3 linked regions of the Astyanax mexicanus genome follow. The protein of the gene in region 3 purifies or fractionates together with the protein of the main gene of each other region. This does not show direct contact. Links are inferred from orthologs where the notes say so. Each region holds a gene or a part of one and is shown on either strand. Other genes may lie near its edges.

Region 1 (7,749 bases), on a different chromosome or scaffold from region 3:
CTCTTCTCCACATTTTTCCTGTAAAGAAAAGAATTATTATTACAATTAAAATTTAACTGAGAAAGCTCAAATTACAGAATCTACAAAAATACAGCTCTGGAAAGATTTAGAGGCCTCAGTTTATCTGATTTTGCTATTTATAGGTTTATGTTTGAGTAAAATGAACATTGTTGTTTATTCTATAAACTACAGACAACATTTCTCCCAAATTACAAATAAAAATATTCTCATTTAGAGCATTTATTTACACAAATATGGTAATAATGCAAAAAAATAAAATCATATTCATAAAGTTTTAAATAAAAGTTCAGAAATTAATATTTGGTGGAATAATCCTGGTTGGTTTTTAATCACAGTTTTAATTTCATGCATCTTGGCATCATGTTCTCCTCCACCAGTCTTACACACTGCTTTTGGATAACTTTATGCTGCTTTACTCCTGGTGTAAAAATTCAAGCAGTTCAGTTTGGTGGTTTGATGGTTTGTGATCATCCATCTTCCTCTTGATTATATTCCAGAGGTTTTTAATTTGGTAAAATCAAAGAAACTCATCATTTTTAAGTGAAAATTTTTTTTTTTTTCCCAGAGCTGTATATCACAGAGAATTATTTCATACCTCAACATCTGACTCAAGGAGTCAAACAGGCAGTTCAGCACTGACATGAGCATCAGCTGTATGGAAAAATTTAATACAAATTAATAAACTGATTGATGTGTTTATTAGACAAATAAATAAGAATAAGTTTAAGCTAAAAGAATCAGGTTTGAGCTGTTACCTCGTTCTCATGTGAGCTCCCGATTACATAGAAGTACAGATCTATGTTGCTCTTATAAACAACAGTAAGGCCTTCAAGCAGAGCGATTTCACCTGTTAAAGAGAAAAATCAAATCAAGATAATTATAAAACTGTGAAAACTTCAGAACAAATAAACCGTGTAGTAAATAAACGTAAAAAAACTGTCTTACTGTCTGTTCTGTGCGTCTTGTTGAAGATGTTCTTCTCAAAGGCCTTTTGTTCTTTAACTGTGGGGTAGGTGTCGTCATAATACTGAAACAGAGGTTAATCAGAGAGACGTTATAAATAAAACGTACAGATAAAACCATCACAATCCTTTAAAACAGCTCTGTTACTCAGATTTACAGTTTCTTGAATTTCTAAAGTGTGTATACCCTTGAATGTATTCACATTTTGTTACCCAACAACAACAAACCATACAAAATAAATAAAGTAAGCTATTTTATTGAGATTTTAAGTGAAAGAGCAACACAACAAGTAGCACATAATTGTAAAGTGGACTAAAAATTACTTCACAATTTTAATCAAATAAAAATCTGAAATCATGTTTATCCCTTTATCCCATATAAAATAAAATGATAAAATCCAGTGCAAACAATTAAGTGATTACCTTAAAAAAAATCTCCAAATTAGTTAAAAGGTCTCATTACATCGTTATTTCATTTCTTGTGTCTCTAGTATGAATGAATACCATGTGAGCTATTTTTTGTGGAAAAAAAAAAAAAGTGCTCCGGTGATCCGGTATAACACTGCTTTAGTCCGGTGGAAGAGTGGGCGGGAAAAGAACGATAGGATTACAGCCCTTGCTTATGAATATTCATACATGCAAACATCACCTCTGATTGGCAAAGTGCATCGGACAACAGTTAGAAACGTCTTTACAATGTCACATGTTACTTTAAAACATGTGTAATAATGCCCTGCTAAGTGCAGTTCAGCCACTGACCTAGTCTTAGTCTCTGTAAAACACCAAATCCACCGGAGATCCTATTTAAACCTATAGTTACTTACACACAGAGGTGGATAACAGAGTCCAGGTCCGGAAAGTAAAAATCCATCAGGGAATTTTACTTTTAACTAGTGTAAACAGAACTGTTCTAAACACCTCTCAATTGTACTTGGCTGGTGGTGTTTTTTCCTCCATAGACTAATTCTAACCATTTGTTTCTTAGCTCTGAATTACTGGGTAAAGTATATAAAACACTGATGTGTTATTCGCACAAACAACACAGGAATGAACTGCATGCTGCCTGTGGGCGGTCCCGAGCCAAAAAAAAAATAAATACAATCAGAAAGGAGTGAGGACTGGAGTATTATTACTATTATTATTTATCTTACCTTAGCATAGAGTCTTTCTCCATCATTGTCCATGATAAGAACTGCTTTTACGGTGTACAGAGAGGGCTCCTGAAACAGCAGCACATGAATCACGCGAGTTAATCAGTAAACAGATTTATGAGTTAATCTAATCTACACTCGCGTACACCAACGTATTAACAGGCAAAGGTTGTGCTGAGAATTAGGCAGCAGGAATGTTAAATAAAATTAAAGTGAAACATGAAACAATATTTTAGAAAAGTAAGAATAATTGATAGAAAACGCATAGAAAATAATTAGCGTTTATGCATTACAGATTAAAGATTCTATCTGCAAAATTGTGAAAATTAAATCCAGATTTAAGAAAGTAAAATGGCAATACTGTCACAGTCAACAAATTTTCTTTATTATGAATTTTAAAGAGCAAATCTCATAGAAAACAATGTTTTCCTCACTTTAAATAAAAAGTTAGTTTTTTTATTTAATTATTTAATACCCAGTCCATGTATTCAACTTATATAAAAGTCAATAAGGAGCATAAGTTTTATACACTCATTATATTTACCCTAACTTCCAAGCTAAAAATACTAATTACAGATTTTTAGTAATATAAGCACACATAGATAATTAACTAGATATGGATGCAAACGGCTTTAAACTAGCTAAGCTAACTAATGTTAGCATGTCTGCCTCAAAACAGCTTTAAAAAAAAAAAAATGTGTGTGCATTTAAGAAAATAAAGCTTTCCTCTCAGTAAAGCTTCAGAAAGAGAGAATAATAAGTGTAAAAACTAAGTTTTGGGGTTTTAGAATTAGAGGATTATCAGTGAAGGTTAAGAAAGAGAGAATAATACTTTTATAAAGTTATTTTGGGTGTTTTTTAGAGGATAATCAGTAAAAGCTAGTTAGTTAGCTCTGCTGCTGCTGTTGTAGTAAAACACTGTTATTATTAATATTAAACTCCACAGCAGCGATTGCTGAAGCTCCAGTTCTCACAGTAAGAGATAATACAGCTCAGATAATATTAATAAATACAGTATTGTAATAATTATACCAGTATTAGCGGCTCCATCCTCGCGGTTAATCAGCGGAGCTCCTGCCGATCCCAGTGCTGTCCACTTCCGGCTGTGACTGAACCGGAAGTGACCTTGCGTTTCACTTCAAAATACAGGTCCGTCCAAAATATCCCTAATACGATGGCGTATGAAAACAGTACACTTCAAGATTAAAGTCATAATAAGTTTGTAATATTACGAGATTAAAGTACTACAAACATAAATCTGTAAAATATTACGAGATTAAAGTCATTATATTACGAGAATAAAGTAGTAATATTGCGGTAAGGTTAAAATCGTAGCATTACTAGATAAAAGTAGTAATATTACAAGATTAAAATTATAGTATTACGAGAATGAACTTGTAATATTATGAGATTAAAGTTGTAATATTAAGAGAATAAAATCTTAATATTATGAGATTAATGTCATAATATTAAAGGCTATTATTTGGTTTGGTTTGATCATCCTTAATGTGGTTACCCTTGTAAAAGAAAAAAAATATATATATATACATATATATATATATATATATATATATATATATATATATATATATATATATATATATATATTAATATGTATTTAAATACACACTAAATGTACTATTTTGGAACAACTTATGGCAACTTAAATATATTTCAATTGCAATTAAAATATATTTAAATACAACATAAAAGCATTAGGTTGTGCTTTTGAGTGCTTTTTTGTATAACTTCTGTGAACTTAAGTAGATTTATAGCTTGTGTTTTTTTAAACATCATGTTCAATACACTTAATGTATATTGTAAATACACTTTATACAACTTGAAAAAAAAAACTATAAACTATAGTGCACAGTAATTAATGCCACTAAACATTTTTTTTTCAACACAACATTTAATTTAAAGCATATTGCTTAAAAAATGCATTTTATGGAAATACAGAGAAGGTATATTAAATAGAAAATGCAGAGCCTAATCTGAACATACATTTAATGCTCTTAAGGATACTTAATTTATTTACAAGGGTAAAGTTACACATTTGCATACATTTTCTTTAGTTTATTTACCTATTTAAATCTTCATTAAATAAATCCCAGAGTTCTAGTCTGAACGTTACTGTGTTCAGTGCACTCCTGACCTTCCTGTGCCGCTGTGTATAACTGAGCCTGGATTCCAGCCTGTCTTGCCTTTATTGAAACTTTCCATTTTGTCATGCTGAATTCAAAACCAATAGGCCATTCTATCACAAAAATAGGCCCACTTCCTTGCCTACAGTACCCTCAGTATTTACTGGAATGTTTCTGCACAGGCGTTGTCATGCACTGAGGTCTGTAGAGGAGCCAACCAGTATCTGACCTTCCCCTGTCAATTACAGCTCATCCATATACTGCCTATTCTCTTCTTCACCATATTCACCATGTACACATACAGCTCTGGAAAAAATAAGAAAGCACTTAAAAATGATGATTTTCTATGATTTTACCAAATTGAAAACCTCTGGAATATAATCAAGAGGAAGATGGATGATCACAAACCATCAAACCACCAAACTGAACTGCTTGAATTTTTACACCAGGAGTAAAGCAGCATAAAGTTATCCAAAAGCAGTGTGTAAGACTGGTGGAGGAGAACATGATGCTGAGATGCATGAAAAAAAAAAAAAACTGTGATTAAAAACCAACCAGGGTTATTCCACCAAATATTGATTTCTGAATTTTCATTTTCTGTAAATAAATGCTCTAAATAAGAATATTTTTATTTGGAATTTGGGAGAAATGTTGTCTGTAGTTTATAGAATAAAACAACAATGTTCATTTTACTCAAATATAAACCTATAAATAGTAAAATCAGAGAAACTGATTCAGAAACTGAATTGGTGTTTTTTCTGTAGTTCTGATCTGTAGTTTAAGGACACTATTATTATATTTAAATACACAATTTTTTCACAAGGGTTTAACTTAATGTATATATTTACAGTATTTTACTGCGATGAATTACTCAACATGGCTGTATTGTATTTGAAGTTTAAAAAATGTAAAACTATTTTTGAATTGTTATTTAAAACAATATCTCCACAATCTTATTTAATGTACTTCCGAGTGCTTTTGTGGGCCGATCTCTTTAAATAGCACCACCATGAGTGTCTGATCTAATTTGGTTTTAATTTGGGTCGTAATCCAGTGATTTGAGGTTAGTTTTATGAGGCACAGGCCTCAATGACACGAGTCTTCTGTAAAACAGTAAACAGCTTATGATACGTCTGCTTTAATTTAACAGATCCTCCTACAGGCGGCCGTCATCGTCCTCATGGCACGGGTCTGGTCACTTCTTCTGGGAAGCACCACTGTGAAAACCCGAGCTCCGAGGGGATTTTCCCTGCTCACTCCTCCTGCACACACACTGACATCAGAGTCCTCTCAGCTCCTGCTCTCAGCCCTTTTGGTTTCAAACACGGCGTCCAAGATCTGCTCCCAGGCCTGCAGAGGGTCATTTATACCATATCAGGAAAACCAGACTGTAGAGTTGTGTATTTAACATGTTAACTTTATTTTAGGGATTGTTTTTCATTTATTCACAGTTACAAACATGCACAGCAAAATAAACAGTGTTAAACTTTAGAGGAGTTACCTGGGTATGTACAGGACCATCTAAAAAAATTAGAATATCTTTGAAAAGTTGCTTTATTTCAGTAATTCAGTTGAAAATGTGAAACTCATATATTATATACATGTATTAAACAGAGTGATCTATTTTAATAATTTATTTATTTTATTATTGATGATTATGATGATTATGAAGCTTACAGCCAATAAAAAAACCCAAAATCAGTGTCAATCAATATAATAAGACCAATTGGTACTTTTGTTTGGCAGTGTGGGCAGTGTGCCAAGTCCTGCTGGAAAATGAAATCCACACCTTCATAAAAGTTGTTATCAGCAGAGGGAAGCTGTAAGATATGAAGTGCTGTAAGATTTTGTGGGAAAACAAAACTGCACTGACTTTAGACTTGATAATAAAACACAGTGGATCAACACCAGCAGATGACAGACATGACTCTCCAAACAAACCATCACTGATCATCAGTAAATTTTACATTTCATTTAAAGTAAATCAAGGGAGTCTGGAGGAAGGAAAATAAGTTTCTTACTGAAAAATAAATACTGTAAACTATTTTTTCTAGATCTTCAAACTTTATATTTGCATATTTTCTGACCTTCCCCTGAAACTATATAGCTAACTAGAGTATCTATAAAACATTATAAAATGTAAACTATACCACACAAAAAATTACTTTTTTTTTTATCTTTTCTAAGCTTTAGAACCTGAGAGATCATCTTGTGTGGATACCCTTATCCACCATTCATAAAAATGCTCAAGTATGTGTGTATGGGTTATTTGGAAGAGGCAGTGGGTGATGTATGGGTTTAGGGGCGGGGCAGGAGGGAGATCTGACTGGGCTGAGCAGTGTGCCTCTGTAGCAGTACAAACAAACAAAATATATACAGAACATTGATGTTATATCCATCGACTTACACCCTAAATTAAACAGCATTAATAAGTAGCTGTGGAATAAAGGAGTTAAAATTGTAAAATAAAGTAAATACAGGGTCTGAAAGGGTTAAGGAGTTCCTCCACAGTTTTAAATAGAAGAACTCCTGAAACTTCCTGCAGGAAGGTATTATTTTAGAAGTGAGAGTGAGAGAATACAGCATTTCCACCCTGTACACAGTTTTAATTGTGTTAGTAGGGTTTTAGGAGAAGTCTGTGGAGATTGTTCTAAAGCCTCTGGCAGCAGCAGAGCGGCTCACCAGCGCGTTTCACAATCCAGCTCTGGGTTTTCACAAGGTTACCGCGAAGTGCATTTCGAAATCATCCTTTAGTGCTGTAGAGGACACAATACGAGCTGGATGTGCCTGATGAAGCGATAAACTATCTTTCTGATACACGTCGCAGCATCACTGTCAAGAGTGCACATGCATTTATATTTTTAATAGTGAGGTTAATATCAATATAAAATAATATACAGCTCTGGAAAAAATGAAGAGAGCACTTCAGTTTCTGAATCAGTTTCTCTGATTTTGCTATTTATAGGTTTATGTTTGAGTAAAATGAACATTGTTGTTTTATTCTATAAACTACAGACAACATGTCTCCCAAATTCCAAAGAAAGAGAAATCAATATTTGGTGGAATAATCCTGGTTTTTAATCACATTTTTTTATGCATCTTGGCATCATGTTCTCCTCCTCCACCAGTCTTACACACTGCTTTTGGATAACTTTATGCTGCTTTACTCCTGGTGTAAAAATTCAAGCAGTTCAGTTTGGTGGTTTGATGGTTTGTGATCATCCATCTTCCTCTTGATTATATTCCAGAGGTTTTTAATTTGGTAAAATCAAAGAAACTCATCATTTTTAAGCCGTAGCAGTAAGTATTAGGATGTACTCTGAATTAGTATTAATACACATATAGAGGAATACTATGTTATCCTTTAAAAAAAATTAAATATTTAAAATATAATAATTTAAATTAGCTATTTCCATTTAAAAAAATAATATATATATATTTTTCTAGGGAATAAAGACACTTTCTGCATGT
Region 2 (8,030 bases), about 3.9 Mb from region 3:
ACGAGAAAGAAGCAGCATTTAACAGAACGGTCTCGTGTAGACTGCCCTAAAGCCATGACCGGATTCTCCGGACATACTCTGCAGTACAGTGCAGTATACAAAAAAACTGTAAACTATTATGAAGTTAAAAGAAATACAAACAACACAGACACTCACCACAGAAAGGTTGACCCAGGCAGTGGCCAGCTGAGTTAGTGTAGCATCTTCATCCTGTTCCTGCATCTTCTTTAGCTCTTTCCTACACAGTTAACAAATCAACACATGAGCAACAGCAGGTGTGAACTTTCACTTCTGCCCACTAAAAACCACTAAATCAAATTCAGGGATAAAAACACTGGGCTTAATTGCACTGGTGTTGTCATTATGTAAAGAGTTCCCAAACAGATGTACAATATAATGAATAAGAAACCCATTTTACACCATTTGTGAAGAACAACAAAATGTAGTATCTGTAATAATAATCTTTAATGGCATTTCAATAAAAAAAGACATATATATATATATAAATGAAAACATTTTTACTCTTGTGGTTAAATGTTTATTCTATATCCTTACAGGATTGGTCAAAATAAGCATGACTTGTCAAATACAGCTAATTACAAGCCTCTTTGTCCCACCCACAGTGCAGGATTGGTTGAAACCTGGCTCACGTGTTGAACAAGATGCCTGTTTTTCCTAATATTGTATTTTTGTAATTGCTTAAATCAGTATTATACAAGAATATGTCATTTTTATCCCTGGGCTCCCCCTACAGTCAGGGAGCTGAATATAACTTATGCTTTACTTCATTACAGTCAATGTGCCAAATAACAGAAGCTGATACTTAACATATAATTAATATGTAAATTTGTTTTAAACAAACTTAATTATGAATCACATCCATATTGCACAGCCCAACATTCTTTCACACACCACACAAAGAAAACATCACAGCATACCTTGCCATGTCAACTCTGTCCAGCTTCAGAAGTACCTGGACGGTCATCGCCATGCTAAAACAAAGAAACAAAAAAATCTAAATAAATAAATAAAACAAGACAAAGCTGAATCAAATGTTGGATTCTTCACCGCACTGACCACTCGAGGCTCTCTCCCTGGTGAAGTGTTCGCAGGGCAGCGTCTGTGTTCATCTCGTGCAGGTAGATGGAGGCGGCCATCAGCAGGAAGGTGGTGTTTGAGACGTCCACACTTTGACTCATCTTCTTATCCAGCTCAGCCACGATTGAATCCCTGCACACAGTTTTATTACAAAGAAAAAGTGTGTTTTAATATAAAGCATAAATAATAAGGGATTAACATGTACATTCATTATGATGGGTTTCAGTAAATCACATTCTGGGTGCTGACCTTTTGCCCTCATTAGACAGATAGTCTGCAAACATACGGACAGCTTTCAGATCCTCAGAGGAACTCTGCTTTATGTCATCCAGCACCACTCCATACTTTCTCTGCAGGAAAAAACAACAAATATCACTTTAAATATTCTGGTTTTAGATGGTCTACGCTGGTTTTCACTGGTCATGGTGGTTGAAGTGTTGGTCGACCTGTATAAATACATGCAAATGTTCCAAATGTGATCTGGTTGCACAGTTTAGCTCCTGACCAGCATGACATACATTTGAGTCTTTTTTTTTTGTGTGTCTGGTCAAATGCGCCGACCAGTTGAGGTCAAGAGGTTGAGCTGGACCATCAGCATGACCATCCAAGCTAACTAGTCTGTTCATTAGACATATTGGTCTGCCAGTTTGGCTGTACAGGATGATTAGCCTCATCAGGACAGTCATACTATTAAACTAGCTAGTTGACTAGCTTAGCTATTGACCAGCATGGTGTATGTTTTTATTTTATGGATTAGCTGGTCAAGGTAGACTTTCAAGGCTTTGTTAGTCACACTTGCAAAGCAAATTTGTCTGTAGTAAATTAACAAAATTTACATTTTAACACCCACATTGTTACTTTAACACTAACTCTGTTTTACTGTGTTTATTTTGAAGTAAATAAGGCATGAGGAAAATTCACAGTGGATATGATGTGAGACCAACTGAGGGACTAGTTTAGATTAGCCTACTAAAGCATACCTTATATTTTTATTGGGTCTAATGGAGCATAACCCAATTGAACGAGCTTATCATACTGGTCAATCAACAGGTATGCTAACAACCAGCAAGGTGAAGCCAGCCTTTCTGGTAAACCAGCTCAACCATCACACACAAAACACACAAAAGCAAACCAGTTCAGCTGGACAGTAGGAGTATGTCATATGTATCGCACACTTTTATTTTTTTGTTTGCTTGCCTTTAATGCAACAAATATTTATGCTGCACTAATTTTGTTAAATATTTTTGTTGTTTATTTATGTTATTTATTATTTTACAATATTTTTATTTTATATCAATTAAGGGTCTAACTTAATACAATTTAATATTTATTTTGCTGCTGTAGTATAGTCTTTAAAAAAAATATAACACCAATCCCTACTGAGCAGTTAATTTATTTTCACCAGGGACAGGTCTTACTGGTGCACATATTGGGCTATATGATGCAAATAATAAAAAAAAAAGCAATAGACAAGAAAAAAGTGGAGCTGCATGGCGTGTAACTAACATAACCTACCTGTGCTATGTACGCCCTGTAGAGGAAAATGTCCTTCTCCAACTCCTTGTCTGGTCCTGAAGCCTGTAAAATCGATATATGAGCATTACAGTGGGGCATAAACAGAGAATCGAGGCCTGAGAATCTAACTGTGGAGTAAATTACACTAACAGATGTGGGTCAAGTAATAAGTTAGTTTTGTAAAATAATGAGTACAATGAGCACAAAAGTATAAATTCCTGTATAAACAACACTTCTCAAAAGGTAACATTAGAAACAGCTAACAGACAGTCCATATGGCCATTTACAGCTCAAATATCTGAAACATTTATAACGTTCCCTGTAAAATATATATGGTAAAGTATACATAAAGTATATATAAATATATACAGTAAAGCAGCAGCAGCTGACTGGTGTTGTTTTCTATGCTAAGCTAAGCTAACAGCAGTTAGCCGGCTGACAGCCTCCCTAAACCCGCCTCTAACTGAAGCCCTGCTCCCCTGTAAACCCAGTAAAAGCGCTGTAGAATCTCCTCATACCTTCACTTTCTGAGCTTCATTAATACAGTGCTGATAGCTGCCGATATAAAAGGCGTTTTTCACGTCGAATAACTCGTCCACTTCTCCCTGCTGCGCCGCCATGATGCTTCTGAACACCAGTACACGTCACTTCAGCGGCCACATCATCCAGGTCGGCTGCAGGAAGAGTGGGCGGGGCGACGAGCGACGGTCTTATTTCTCATTGGCTGACGAGTCTGTCAATCTCACTCGCACTCATCCATTCATTTTATTAGAAACACTAAAGCTAACTACAAACACTAGAGGAATTTAAAAAGACTCTAAAAAGACTTTAATAGACTAAAATCTGACACTCTTTCACATCTAAAGACAAGTCACAGACATTTTAGTCACAGACTAAGATTTTACAAAAACTGGTAATCTTGCAAGACTGCAACTAGATTCTTTCTCATCCAGGCCCTTCTGATAAATAGTGTATTTAAATATATAATAATAGTGCACTTAAACTGTTATGGAAGGCAAATCCTGCTAAAAATAAGACTGAAGTAAAAATACTCAAATTAAAACGCAAATACTGTTTTGCGCTTTCTTTTTTTCCAAACATGTGTGAAAATATTAGAAAAAAAAATAAAATACAAAAATAAAATAAAAATTACTTTTATTAATTAAATTTTGCCTTTTTAATTTTAATTTACAAGCTTATTGTGAAAAATAAAAGCTTCACTTTGGCCTTTCCTTTTCTTGATGAACTGCATAATAAATGGCAAAACTAAAATCTAAATGCACTGGTAACATTTTTATTTATTTTTCCTTGCAATAGGCTGCATGTCTGACAATTAAAATAAAAACACAAAATGGAAAAATCAATAGCAAAGTAACAGTTTGTGATTTAGTTTGTAGAGTGAGTGGCGCTTTAAGTGTCAACATAAAAGGGAAATACAAAGAAAGATTAGCGCTATCTGCTGGTGATTTACTATTCATTGATTCATTTCCCACTTTTTCCCACAGTAGGCGGGGCTACAACCACAGAACCGGTAAGTATAAGCTTACCATTTCTCATGAACACTCCTGTTGTTTAATTGTGCAAAAAGTAAAAGTTTAAAAAATCAGTTCTGTTCAGCTGAACAACTCTTGAAAGCACACAGACCCACAAACACAGGCTAAAGACACATCAGGTGTTTGTCTATACAGGGATTTTATTGCTCATCATAGATGTGTGGAAAGCAGTTCTTCCAGTTTAGAGATGAGGGTGTAATTTAGCAGAGCACACGGGACGGCCCGCACAAAACTAGCCCCCATCCCACTGTAGAAACCTCTCAGCCCGTTCTTCTCATAGATCCCAACCAGTCCATGAAATATATGTGAGGAATTCTGGCAGTTTGATGTAAAAGCTGGAAGAGAGACATGTAACAATATAACAGTTATATTGACAATAAAATAGTCTAAAATATTATATATTATTATATATAATAACTGATGTAATAATTCAGTAATTAATAAGAAGCATACTGTATTTCATAAGAGCTGCATTACATCACTTATTTTACAAAAATGATTATATAATATATTATTTCGTAATGATTAATAAGGCAATAATTAGGCATACAAAAAATTTAGTAGGGTAAAATGTTTTTTCTGGTTTGTTCGGCAGCACAGTATCAGTAATTATAAAAAGCCCCACTGTTTTATACCCCTCACCTTGCGCTTGATGCTGGGTTCTAATGACGGCCAGAGGGTAGCTGCTGGCCTGTCCACACGCGAACGCCACAAAGCTGAAGAACAGCAGTTTGATGTCACTGCGGTTGGCAGGGTTTCGTCTGGCCCAGCTCATTATCGACTGTTAGGACAAACGATGAGGTATGAGCTATTTTTCTTATAACTGTTGTAGTTAAGTATGTTTAAGCATGTTCATGTACAGTAGGGGCAGCAGATGGTAAGAGTATATATTAATAAAGGCACAAATTAACCCTGTGAACACATTGAGGCTATCAGTATAGGCCTTAGCATAACGTATGATCATATATTATTATGAATATGGCCCCTGGTTTGATTTACCTGATGAACAGCACACTCCACTCCAGCATATGGGATCATGCAGAGCAGACTTGGTCTGAAACCTCTGTAGAAAGCTGTCACAGACTCGTTGCTGTAAATGGACTTTGCACATCCCAGGAGTCCGCTGTAGTTACCGGCCTGCTGCAGATTCAGCCTCACCTTCAGAACCTGCGATTGAGAAGCAGAAAACACAGTCCAGTTACTGGTCTTAATGACTTTTTGTTTCTAGTAGAACCAAACCTACCTTTTAACTCAAATGAGCAAAGACTTCTGCTGGCCCCCAGACAAAAACTAGTTGTGAACTGTGTAAGAGGCCGTTTAAATTCTGTGATGGTCAATACAGGAAAGAACAACAACACTTTTTTCAGAATCCACCTTAAGGGGGCTCCTCCCACTATTTACTGACAGTAGTATACAACCAGACTGGAACATGTTCAGCAGTATCCATGCACACCAGCTGTTCACTGTCTTTAACACTAGAACGGATAGAGCTAACGACTAACTGACATTAGTTTCACACACCAAAACCTCAAACTATTTGCTAATAATTAATTAACTTCACATGTCTTTACTCATCTTAATTTTATTTTTAACTGAACTGAGTTTTATATGGTTATATTTGTAGCCACAATCTGTCTGAACTCTGAGAAAGAGACGAGACGCAGCACATTTTGCCTCAATCTTGGTCAAACAACGATAAAACATTTCAGTAAAGATGGTGGTTATAATGTGTTTTATATCATTTGCACAGAAAGGAGAAAGCTTCCTGGGAGTGCTCAGACCTGTGATGTATCTGTGATACCTCTAGGGGGTAAAATGCTGCGTGTGCTACAGCTCCAGACACACAGCCCAGTCCGAAACGCTGCTCCACAGACAGGTGATCTCTCTCGCCCAGGGTCTGCTTCCTCATCTGGGAAACAGACAGAAAGCAGTTTGTAGGATTTGATTGGGAACTGCTCTAATTAATGTGATTATAAACAAGACCTGTGATTTTATTCCAGTATGAATCTGCAGCTTAAAGTGTAGATCATTAAGTGATTCAATTCAAAAATGAGTTTTATGCGTGTTTGACAATAATAATTATCTATTACCTATTAGACACTTTTGCAGAGATAATATATTACAGTGTTGATTTCCAGTAGTTTCTACAGTCTGACAGTGTATAGATTGATAGGTATATTTTAATAACTAGAGAGTGATTTTAACTCAGTATAAAAAGATGGAACATGTGAAACAAGGTTATATTTATACACCTGGGTATACAGGAAACACTGCAGTGTGGACTGTGGTGTTCCTTTAAGCACATTAACAGCATTTCCCTGCCACATGGACCTCAAGCCTCCAGTTCTCAGATCTTGCAAACCCAAAGACACAGCCTTGGAGCCATAAACCTAGAAAACAAGGGAAGGAACATCTATAAAACATCTATAAAAGCTGAACAAAGTTGTCCACAGTTTAAATATTATAAAAAAAGATTTAAAAAATCTGTCAATCAACTAGAAAATGTAATCAGATTAATCACAACAATATTCTGTGATTAGCTGTGATTAATCGCATTTGTTCTTCTTAAGGGGCAAGTTTTACAGTGGATATTTAAATGTAAATAAAAGAATGAATGTAAAACATGTAAAATGCAATTATATTTAGTTTTAGTGGTCTCAATTAAAATACTGGTGTATATTTCTATGTTTGAGGGGAGATTAAAAAAAACAACGTGGGGTGCCGGAATAAAGAATGCATGATAAATATAGATAGAGGAAACTTTTTTTTACTTTATTGTAAACATCTCAGCTTGTTTGAGCTGAAATACCTGTAGCTGAGTCTTTAATCGGTCAATGGGAGCCGTCACAGTTCTGGAAACAGCGTCAGACAGACCTGCAGCCAGGATGAAGTTCCTCCACTCGGACAGATCCGTCTCCGCCTGAGTGAGCTCTATAGGCATGGATCGACTCTCACCAACGTCAAACACCTGCAGATGGAAGCAGCAAGGAAAGGTGATGATTTAGGAATTCTGTAATTAAATAGTAATAGTAAATTTATACTAAATTAACTGATAAGTAAATCTTAAGTAGAACTGTTTTATGCATTACAAATTTTATTTATCATATATATGCTATAGTATGACAGGGTTCTTTTTTATTGGATTACAAGTCCAGGCAGTAATAAGTGTGCTCTTTACCAGTGTGTGCTTCCATGAGGATATAAGCTCTCTGATATTTTCTGCTGGGTTGATGATCACATGTTGCAGGAATTCCCCCCAATCCACAGTCATGGAGCTGTCCTCATCCATCCTAATAATGAACAGAAAAAGAATTAACAGAGTTAACAGAGAACCATCTCTGTTTATACCCAATCCCAGCAGTACAGACAGCAATATGATCATATGATGTACATGATGATGATATATAAAGTATATGTAGCCAATTAAAATGTTAATTAGCAATTGTAAAAAAGAAAAAAAGGCAAATTTCATGCATCTTGGCATGTTCTCCTCCACCAGTCTTACACACTGATTTTGGATAACTTTATGCCTTAACTCCTGGTGCAAAAAAAATTCAAGAGGTTTTCAACTTGGTAAAATCAAAGAAACTCATTGTTTTCAAATGAAATGGTCTCTTATTTTGTCCAGAGCTGTATATATACATATAAATATCTTTTACTTTATATTTTACCACAGTTAGTTCCGACCCTGCAATGTGATTGGCTGAGAGATGTTCTGTGAGTTATCATTATCAGCCAGTAATGCACTGTAACCGAAGCACTCCATGTATGACTCCGCCACATACAGGTATCCTAGCAATAATGCAGCGCTTACAAGCCAAACAGCGCAGCTTAGATACAGAGTATCAGTATCTAAAGTTAGTG
Region 3 (7,244 bases):
TGTCTTACGTCTTTTTCCACTTACCTTAATGCAATAAGTCTTGCTTGACCTGCACTTACCCACCCTCTCGGCCTTGGCTCCCATCCCAGCACTGTCTTCGGCTCTGGTGATGGAAATCGTGTAAAAAAAGTAAATAGAGGATATTCATCAAGACTCACTCACCGAGACAAAAGTACACTAGGCAGTGATTTATAAGACTCATTTTCAAAGCACTGGATGGGCCAAAAGCGAATAGATTAAACACTCATTTCAAGAATTCACCACATACCGTTTAAATGACATTTAGTCCCAGGGAATTTGGTTTGATCTGATAAAATACTGCTCTAAAATGATGATCTGGCTTCTCTAAGGCCAGATATTGTAAAATTCCCTTGGAATAGCACTTAAAATGTTCTGCATTGTAGCTTAATACTAAAGTCATCCAAACTATGAAGAAAAACATATGGAATTATTTAGTAAACCAAAAAGAAAGGGTCAAACAAACCACAATATGTTTCATATTTTAGATTAATTTTTGCTTAGATAACAGCTTTGCACATCTTGTCTGGATTTTCTCAGTCAGCTTTATGAGGTAGAGTCACCTGTAATTCAAGCTTTCAGTTAACAGCTGTGCTGAACTTGTCAAGAGTTAATTACTTTAATTTCTTGTCCTCTTAATGTGTTTGAGAGCATCAGTTGTAAAGTTGTGAAGAGGTAGAGTTACAGGTATACAGTGAATAGCTCTATTTAGGCTATGTTCTAATTAATATTATGGCAAGATCTACTCAACTAAGTAAAGAAAAAATACTTGAAGAAATGAAGGTTAGTCACGGAACATCAAAAACGAACATCAAAACCAGCCTTAGAAACCACAAGTTAACAGCTCCCCAGATATGAGACACCTAAATGCTTGACAGTTTGTTTAACACTTTTGAGTAATTACATGATAAATTATGTGTTCCTTCTTACTCTAGATGACTTCAGCATTTTCTTAAAGCTCTGTTTTTCCTGTTCACACAACACTAAAAAAAAAGTTTTAAAATCTCCACCAAGCTTAGTTTTCCATCAAAAACAGCATCTTCATGTGGTTGGGAGGCCAAACTGCAGAAATAATTAAGAAACTCAAGAAGTACATGTGGACATGGCTTTAAATACCTCCTCATGTTGTACCTTTAAACTCATTCACACTATTTCTACACTGCGTCTAAGCAAGCATAATAAGCTAGATAACTAGATTTGTGTCAGTCCTGTTACTGTCTGTCCGCCTGCCACAGACTCTGGTTCTCTCAATAAAGACTCCATTTCCCAGGATACACCTGTGTCGTCATCCTTCTAGTTAGTTCACGTGTCTTTCCCCAGTATAAATAGCCCTTGTTTTTCCTATTCTAATCTATTCCCATAGGTAACTTCACATTTCTTTTGTGCATGACTGTATGTTACCAACCCTTTTTGTATCTCTGACCATCCTTTTTCGCAAAGCCTTTTGTTGTTTAGTTAGCCTACTCGTTGCCTACCTGTTTTGTTTATTTGACCACCCTTTTGCCTTGCCCTTTTAATTATATACTGGATTTCCTGTGTATGATCTCCTTGTCTACTCACTCTGGTATGCTGTTTGTTTACACTGTCCTTTGGTTACTGATCCTGCCTGTCCCTGATTATTCTTATAAGTGCAACCTCTTATTTAATAAATTGTGTGTTTGGTATCACTTACGGATAAAAGTCAATATTGTTACAAATATATAATGAATTTCTTTAATCCATGATTTGGAGTCACATTCAGACACATATACAGTCAGAATCTCTTTATAGTTGGGGGCAGGACAACAGAGAGACAAACTTACATATTGGATTATTAAAGAAAGGCCAAGAACTGATTGAACCATTGCTATGCCTATCCATGCCCACAGTCTCATTGTGTTTGACTGTACAGATCAGACTTCACCGGAGCCAAAGCCTCTGTGTTTGAGGAGACGTAGCTCAGTGTGAATGAGAGAGGGCAGGAACAGGCCACGGCACTGTTGACTGACGAGCTTGTCTTTACAGACTCTGATCACCTGGGAGGGCGAGGAATTGGTGTGTATACAAAAGGGTGAGAAGGCCAACCGTGGATGGAAGCACTGGCTAGAGGGAGATAAACTGCACTTGGTGAGCCTCCAATTGCTTTGTTTTACAGGGTAACATTTAATTGCACATTTAAATCGTTCAAATCAACTAACCAAGCACTGACTATATATAGTAAAGTAATACTGGATAGGACCTGCCTTCACATTGAAAACAGCTTTAGTATTTTGTAGCACGAATTCCATAAGATGTTGAAGGCATTGCATTGAGATTCGGGTCCATGGTCACATGACTGAATCATGCAATTGTATTTAATGCAGCGAATCTCATGTTCTTCCAAATCACAAAAATGTTTTACTGGATTCAGATCCACAGAATAGAAAAGGCCTCTAAAAACACTCATTCAGTACATTTTAGTATTCCAGATATTTTTGGTAGAAATGAGATGATCAAAGACGAAAAAAATAACCATTCATACTGTTATCAGGGAAAAAAAAAGTTGTATATTACATATTATGTTATTTTGCATTCTCACACTAACATACTACATTTCCTTTTTATCATTTATGATCGCAGGAGCTGTACTGTGAAGATGTTGTTTGTCATCAAGTGTTCAAGAAACAGGGTTAGTGTTCACTCTCTGTGCTCACTAAAAAAATGATAAATGTAAAATAACTGTATTGGCAATTTATATCAATAAAGAAACCACAAAATAAAAACACAAATGGATTTGTATGTGTGTTTTACATGTATTTTTCAACAAGACAATAACTAAGACTAACTTGTCATTAGTTATTAATTGCTTGAATTTCTTACCTCTTAATGTGTTTGAGAGCATCAGTTGTAAAGTTGTGAAGAGGTAGAGTTGGTATACAGTAAATAGCCCTATTTGAGTAACGTTCTAATCCATATTATAGCAAGAACAATTCAACTATTCAAGTAAAGAAAATAAATTGACTTTGCTTTGAATAAAGGTCAGTTAATCTAAAAAAAATTAAAACTTTGAAAGTATCCTTAAATGCAGTCGAAAAACCATCAAACATGTTATGATGAAACTGGCTCTCATCAGGACTGCCCCAGTCAAAAGTTTGGACACACATTCATTTTCATAATTCATTTTCTACATTGTAGATTAATATTAAAGACATCAAAGCAATTAAGGGACACATATAGAATTACGTAGTAAACAGCAAAAGAAGTGTTTGTCCTCCACAATCCCCTGATGTAAACCTGATCAACCGAGATGGGTGACCTCCAGGAACTCCTTCAAGATGCTGAGAAAACTATTCCAGAAGACTCTACCTCATAAAGTCACTGAGATTAAAATACCAAAAGAAGTTAAATGTGGCTACTTAGAAGAATCTAAAGTGAAGTATTAAACATATTTAGGTTTGTTTAAGACTTTATGTTTACTATACAATTTCACATGCATTCCTGTATAGCTTTGATGAAGTTTATTATCCCTTTCAGACCTGGATTATCCACAGTGATGGAAAAAAAAATGTAAGAATGCTGTTTTTTGTCTGTAGAGCACAGAAAAGAAGACTACTCTACTAATTTTCTACTAAATTTAACAGCAAATAAATAAAATTAACTACAATATATATATATTTTTTTTACATTGTATTGAAAGACTGTGTGTAGTATTGTATATCTCATATTGACCTTTTTTATTTCATAAATCATCCCTAAATAATTAAAAAAGCATAAGTAAAAAAGTGATTAAATAAGTAAAATGAGCTGTTTCTTTGCCTCAATGGGTCTAGTAGTATTTTTTCCTGTTTCATTGGTTTATAAATGTTTTAATTGGCTGGCTCATGATCTATTCTGATGAACAACAGCTCTCAAATATTTTGAACAATTTAACATTTTGACAGACAGACAGACAGACAGATAGATAGATGCTTTATTGATCCCAGATGGAAATACTCCACACTCAGTAGCAGGTATACATAGTACACAGACGTTTCAAAACAGAAAGTAGAGTCTTATAGAAAGTAGAGTCTTTTAGTTGGTATGTAATGGAGGTAGTGTGGTTAAATTATGCCCACTGTAATGGATACAGGGTCTGAAAGGGTTAAATTCATCCTTTACCATTCAGAGTTGTGCAGGACTGTAGTTTCTGCTCTGGATCTCCTCAGTCCTCCATGTGTCGCGTCATCGGCTCCCACCACACGTTTGAGGAAGTTCCACGTCAGATGAGAGTGTGTGTATCTTACTGTGTGTGTGTGTGAGGGAGTGTGTGTGTCCAGCTGGAGCTTTAGTGAGCTGCGGATACAGCAGCAGCAGCAGATCTGCGATTAGAAAGAGCGAAAACCCACTAAAAGCAGCAGAATGGTGAGTACAGCAGCTCCGCTCCGGTTAAGTTATACACAGCGCGTTGATGCAGTCTGTCAGAGCGCAGATCTCCCGCAGCTGAGTTTAGCTTTAGGTTTAGTTAGCGATGCTAAGCTAGCGGAGCTAAAGGCCACATACACAGACTGAGCAACGTAGCGTAAACGCTAGCCAAGTTAGCTAAGATAGTTAGCTGACCATGTATTCAGTCTGTGAACGAAATAATGCTATAATTTGGGCGTTTTCCTTTTTAAAAACGTACTAATAACAACTTCAAAGGCTTCAATTTGTAACCTAACTGTCTTTTCGGCTGTGAACCTGGTTAAACAACGAATTTGAAGCTAGTTAGCTTCAATGCTAATTCCAATATTTATCCCATTGAACGCAAGCTAGCTGGCTGCCCGGCTAACTAGCATTAGCTCGCTAGCTATCTCTCACAGTTAGCTTTAATAATTAGCTAGCGTTAGCTCTCTGAGTCCAGATGTTGAAGTTTTGTGATGTTGAGACGATTAACTATAAATATGAAGTTATTTAGTGAGCTAATTAAACTGCAGGTTGCCGTGATATTAAATATTGAGCTGCAGAGTTAGCTTAGCTTGCTAAAGTCAAAGCTAACCCGACTAAACTAGCTTAAGAGAAGCTGAGAGAGTTGACATTAATGACGTGGTGGTTTGCTAAGCTAGCTAACATCTAAACTATTTAAACTAACTATTAACTTAATGTTTTAACGTTGTATTTGTAAAAACGTATAGTTTGCAAACTATATACAGCTCTGGAAAAAATTGAAACCACTTAAGTTGCCGAATTAGTTTCTCTGATTTTTCTATTTATAGTTATATGTTTAAGTGAAATTAACATTGTTGTTTTATTCTATAAATATAAGTTACTGTCATTTAGAGCATTTTGCAGAAAATAAGATATGGCTGAAATAACAAAAACGATGCAGAAAAAACAGGTTCATATTCATAAAGTTTTAGAAGTTCAGAAATCAAAATCTGGCGAAATTACCCTGTTTTTTTAATCACAGTTTTTATGCATCTTGGCATGTTCTCCTCCACCAGTTTTACACACTGCTTTTTAATGCCACTCCTGGTGCAAATATTCAATCAGTTCAGCTTGGTTTGTTGGCTTGTGATTATCCGTCTTCCTCTTGAGGTTTTCAATTTGGTAAAATCAAAGAAACTCACCATTATAAAGAGGTCTCTCATTTTTTCCCAGAGCTGCATGTAAGCAGGTTATATTTAACTAAACTAGTTAACCTTTCTTAAGTGTTCATTTTTTCCATGTTTTAACATTTCGCCATAGGGTAATAACACAATAATAACGTAGAGAGAGGCTATATTTCATTACATGTATCAATACATGTATCCTATTCTATACTGCTCCTATCGAAATACATGTTTCTGTCATATCCACAGTAAGCATATTGAGGTTATCACCAGTACTTAAAGAACACTGACCCAACAGCTTTTTCATGCAGAGTATAGTGATTCTTATTTAATTTGTGCTGAACATTATTCCATTAAACATGATTTATTACACGTTGTAATGAAAAGTACAGTTGGGTCGGTGTTCTTTAAGTACAGGTAATAACCTTAAAATGTGTATTGTTGATATGGTAAAAAAAAAAAGGTGTCATGATACGATAAGCTATCAATATGTTGTCCATCTCTAACAGTGGTTATATGTGCCTAGCTATGGAGGTGTTGGCAGTCTGATCATATTGGTATTGCACTGGTCACAAATAATCCATGATAGAGCTGGACAATATGTTGTTAGTTTATCATATTGTGAGACCTTTTCTTATGATATCGTTTGTAAGCATTTTGGGGTATAAGAACACTTCATGTCATATGTGTTTAGAAAAGCATATTGTTTATAATGGTAAAAACTGTCCTCTTTATTCTTTCATTCTTAATATATTTGTGTTAACAACTGGGTGAACAATTTTCCCCCTTGTAGCCTCTGAGGCTGGACATCAAGCGCAAGCTCACGGCTCGGTCCGACCGTGTCAAGAGCGTGGACCTTCATCCCACGGAGCCATGGATGCTGGCCAGTCTGTACAACGGCAGCGTCTGCGTCTGGAACCATGAAACACAAGTAAGTGTCGAACCTCTTTGTGTAGACAGTTTATTTACAAACTGCAAACTGTAAAGATTCTGCTTTATGTTATTCAAGTCTGACCTCAGTCTGACCAAGTCTGATTTCAGTAGTTTAGAGAAAAAAATATTGAACTGTTTTAATATAAAGTTTTCTCTGATTGTTTTGTAGACCTTGGTGAAGACGTTTGAAGTGTGCGACCTGCCAGTACGAGCCTCAAAGTTTGTGGCCAGGAAAAACTGGGTTATCACTGGAGCAGTAAGTAGTAGCTGTGTTTAGTTGTGATAATAATATGTTCATTAAATACATGCATATATCATCTATTGCTTATGAATCAATATTCATTATATCAGGCATGATGTTTTCTTGGACCTGGTGTGAATTGCTTTTTTTCTGCCCTCTGTCTTTTAGGATGATATGCAGATTCGGGTTTTCAACTACAACACACTAGAACGGGTCCATATGTTCGAGGCTCATTCGGATTATATCCGCTGCATTGCTGTGCACCCCACCCAGCCCTACATCCTTACTAGTAGTGGTATGTACAGGTTTACTTTCACATGTTCTATATGTACAGAGATTTTAATGATGGCATCAGTCTACACAGATTTAGACCAGTTTTGACTGATTGATGATTTTGTCAGAGCTGATTCATTTTTTTTGGCATATCCTACAACATTTTTCTTGATATTGACCAATCAGAGGATGAAGTGCTGTTACATATGTAAAAATAAGGAAGAAAAAGAGAGAAAGAAACTATTGCTACCGTT

The links.
Region 1: the proteins of copb2 (region 3) and copz1 fractionate together in Homo sapiens (co-fractionation; 6 studies listed by BioGRID and IntAct, with this or other methods). This does not show direct contact. The link is inferred for Astyanax mexicanus from reciprocal best matches to the Homo sapiens genes COPB2 and COPZ1.
Region 2: the proteins of copb2 (region 3) and cope purify together in Homo sapiens (affinity purification with mass spectrometry; 4 studies listed by BioGRID and IntAct, with this or other methods). This does not show direct contact. The link is inferred for Astyanax mexicanus from reciprocal best matches to the Homo sapiens genes COPB2 and COPE.

The regions. Positions count from the first base shown.
Region 1 is NC_064420.1:853,120-860,868, forward strand, and holds the start of copz1 (coatomer subunit zeta-1), read right to left. Parts: upstream 3,274-7,749; 5' UTR 3,185-3,273; coding exon 3,167-3,184; intron 2,204-3,166; coding exon 2,135-2,203; intron 1,049-2,134; coding exon 967-1,048; intron 869-966; coding exon 777-868; intron 673-776; coding exon 617-672; intron 19-616; coding exon 1-18. UniProt on the Homo sapiens protein: The coatomer is a cytosolic protein complex that binds to dilysine motifs and reversibly associates with Golgi non-clathrin-coated vesicles, which further mediate biosynthetic protein transport from the ER, via the Golgi up to the trans Golgi network.
Region 2 is NC_064415.1:56,240,334-56,248,363, forward strand, and holds the start of cope (coatomer subunit epsilon), read right to left. Parts: upstream 3,274-8,030; 5' UTR 3,234-3,273; coding exon 3,132-3,233; intron 2,677-3,131; coding exon 2,614-2,676; intron 1,449-2,613; coding exon 1,348-1,448; intron 1,231-1,347; coding exon 1,078-1,230; intron 993-1,077; coding exon 939-992; intron 239-938; coding exon 157-238; intron 1-156. Other genes in the region: slc25a24l (solute carrier family 25 member 24, like), read right to left, coding at 4,317-4,501, 4,809-4,947, 5,166-5,333, 5,968-6,075, 6,419-6,556, 6,976-7,134, 7,345-7,456. UniProt on the Homo sapiens protein: The coatomer is a cytosolic protein complex that binds to dilysine motifs and reversibly associates with Golgi non-clathrin-coated vesicles, which further mediate biosynthetic protein transport from the ER, via the Golgi up to the trans Golgi network.
Region 3 is NC_064415.1:52,356,317-52,363,560, reverse strand, and holds the start of copb2 (coatomer subunit beta'), read left to right. Parts: upstream 1-4,222; 5' UTR 4,223-4,374; coding exon 4,375-4,377; intron 4,378-6,336; coding exon 6,337-6,474; intron 6,475-6,645; coding exon 6,646-6,732; intron 6,733-6,885; coding exon 6,886-7,012; intron 7,013-7,244. Other genes in the region: rbp2b (retinol-binding protein 2b), read left to right, coding at 2,023-2,124, 2,617-2,670. UniProt on the Homo sapiens protein: The coatomer is a cytosolic protein complex that binds to dilysine motifs and reversibly associates with Golgi non-clathrin-coated vesicles, which further mediate biosynthetic protein transport from the ER, via the Golgi up to the trans Golgi network.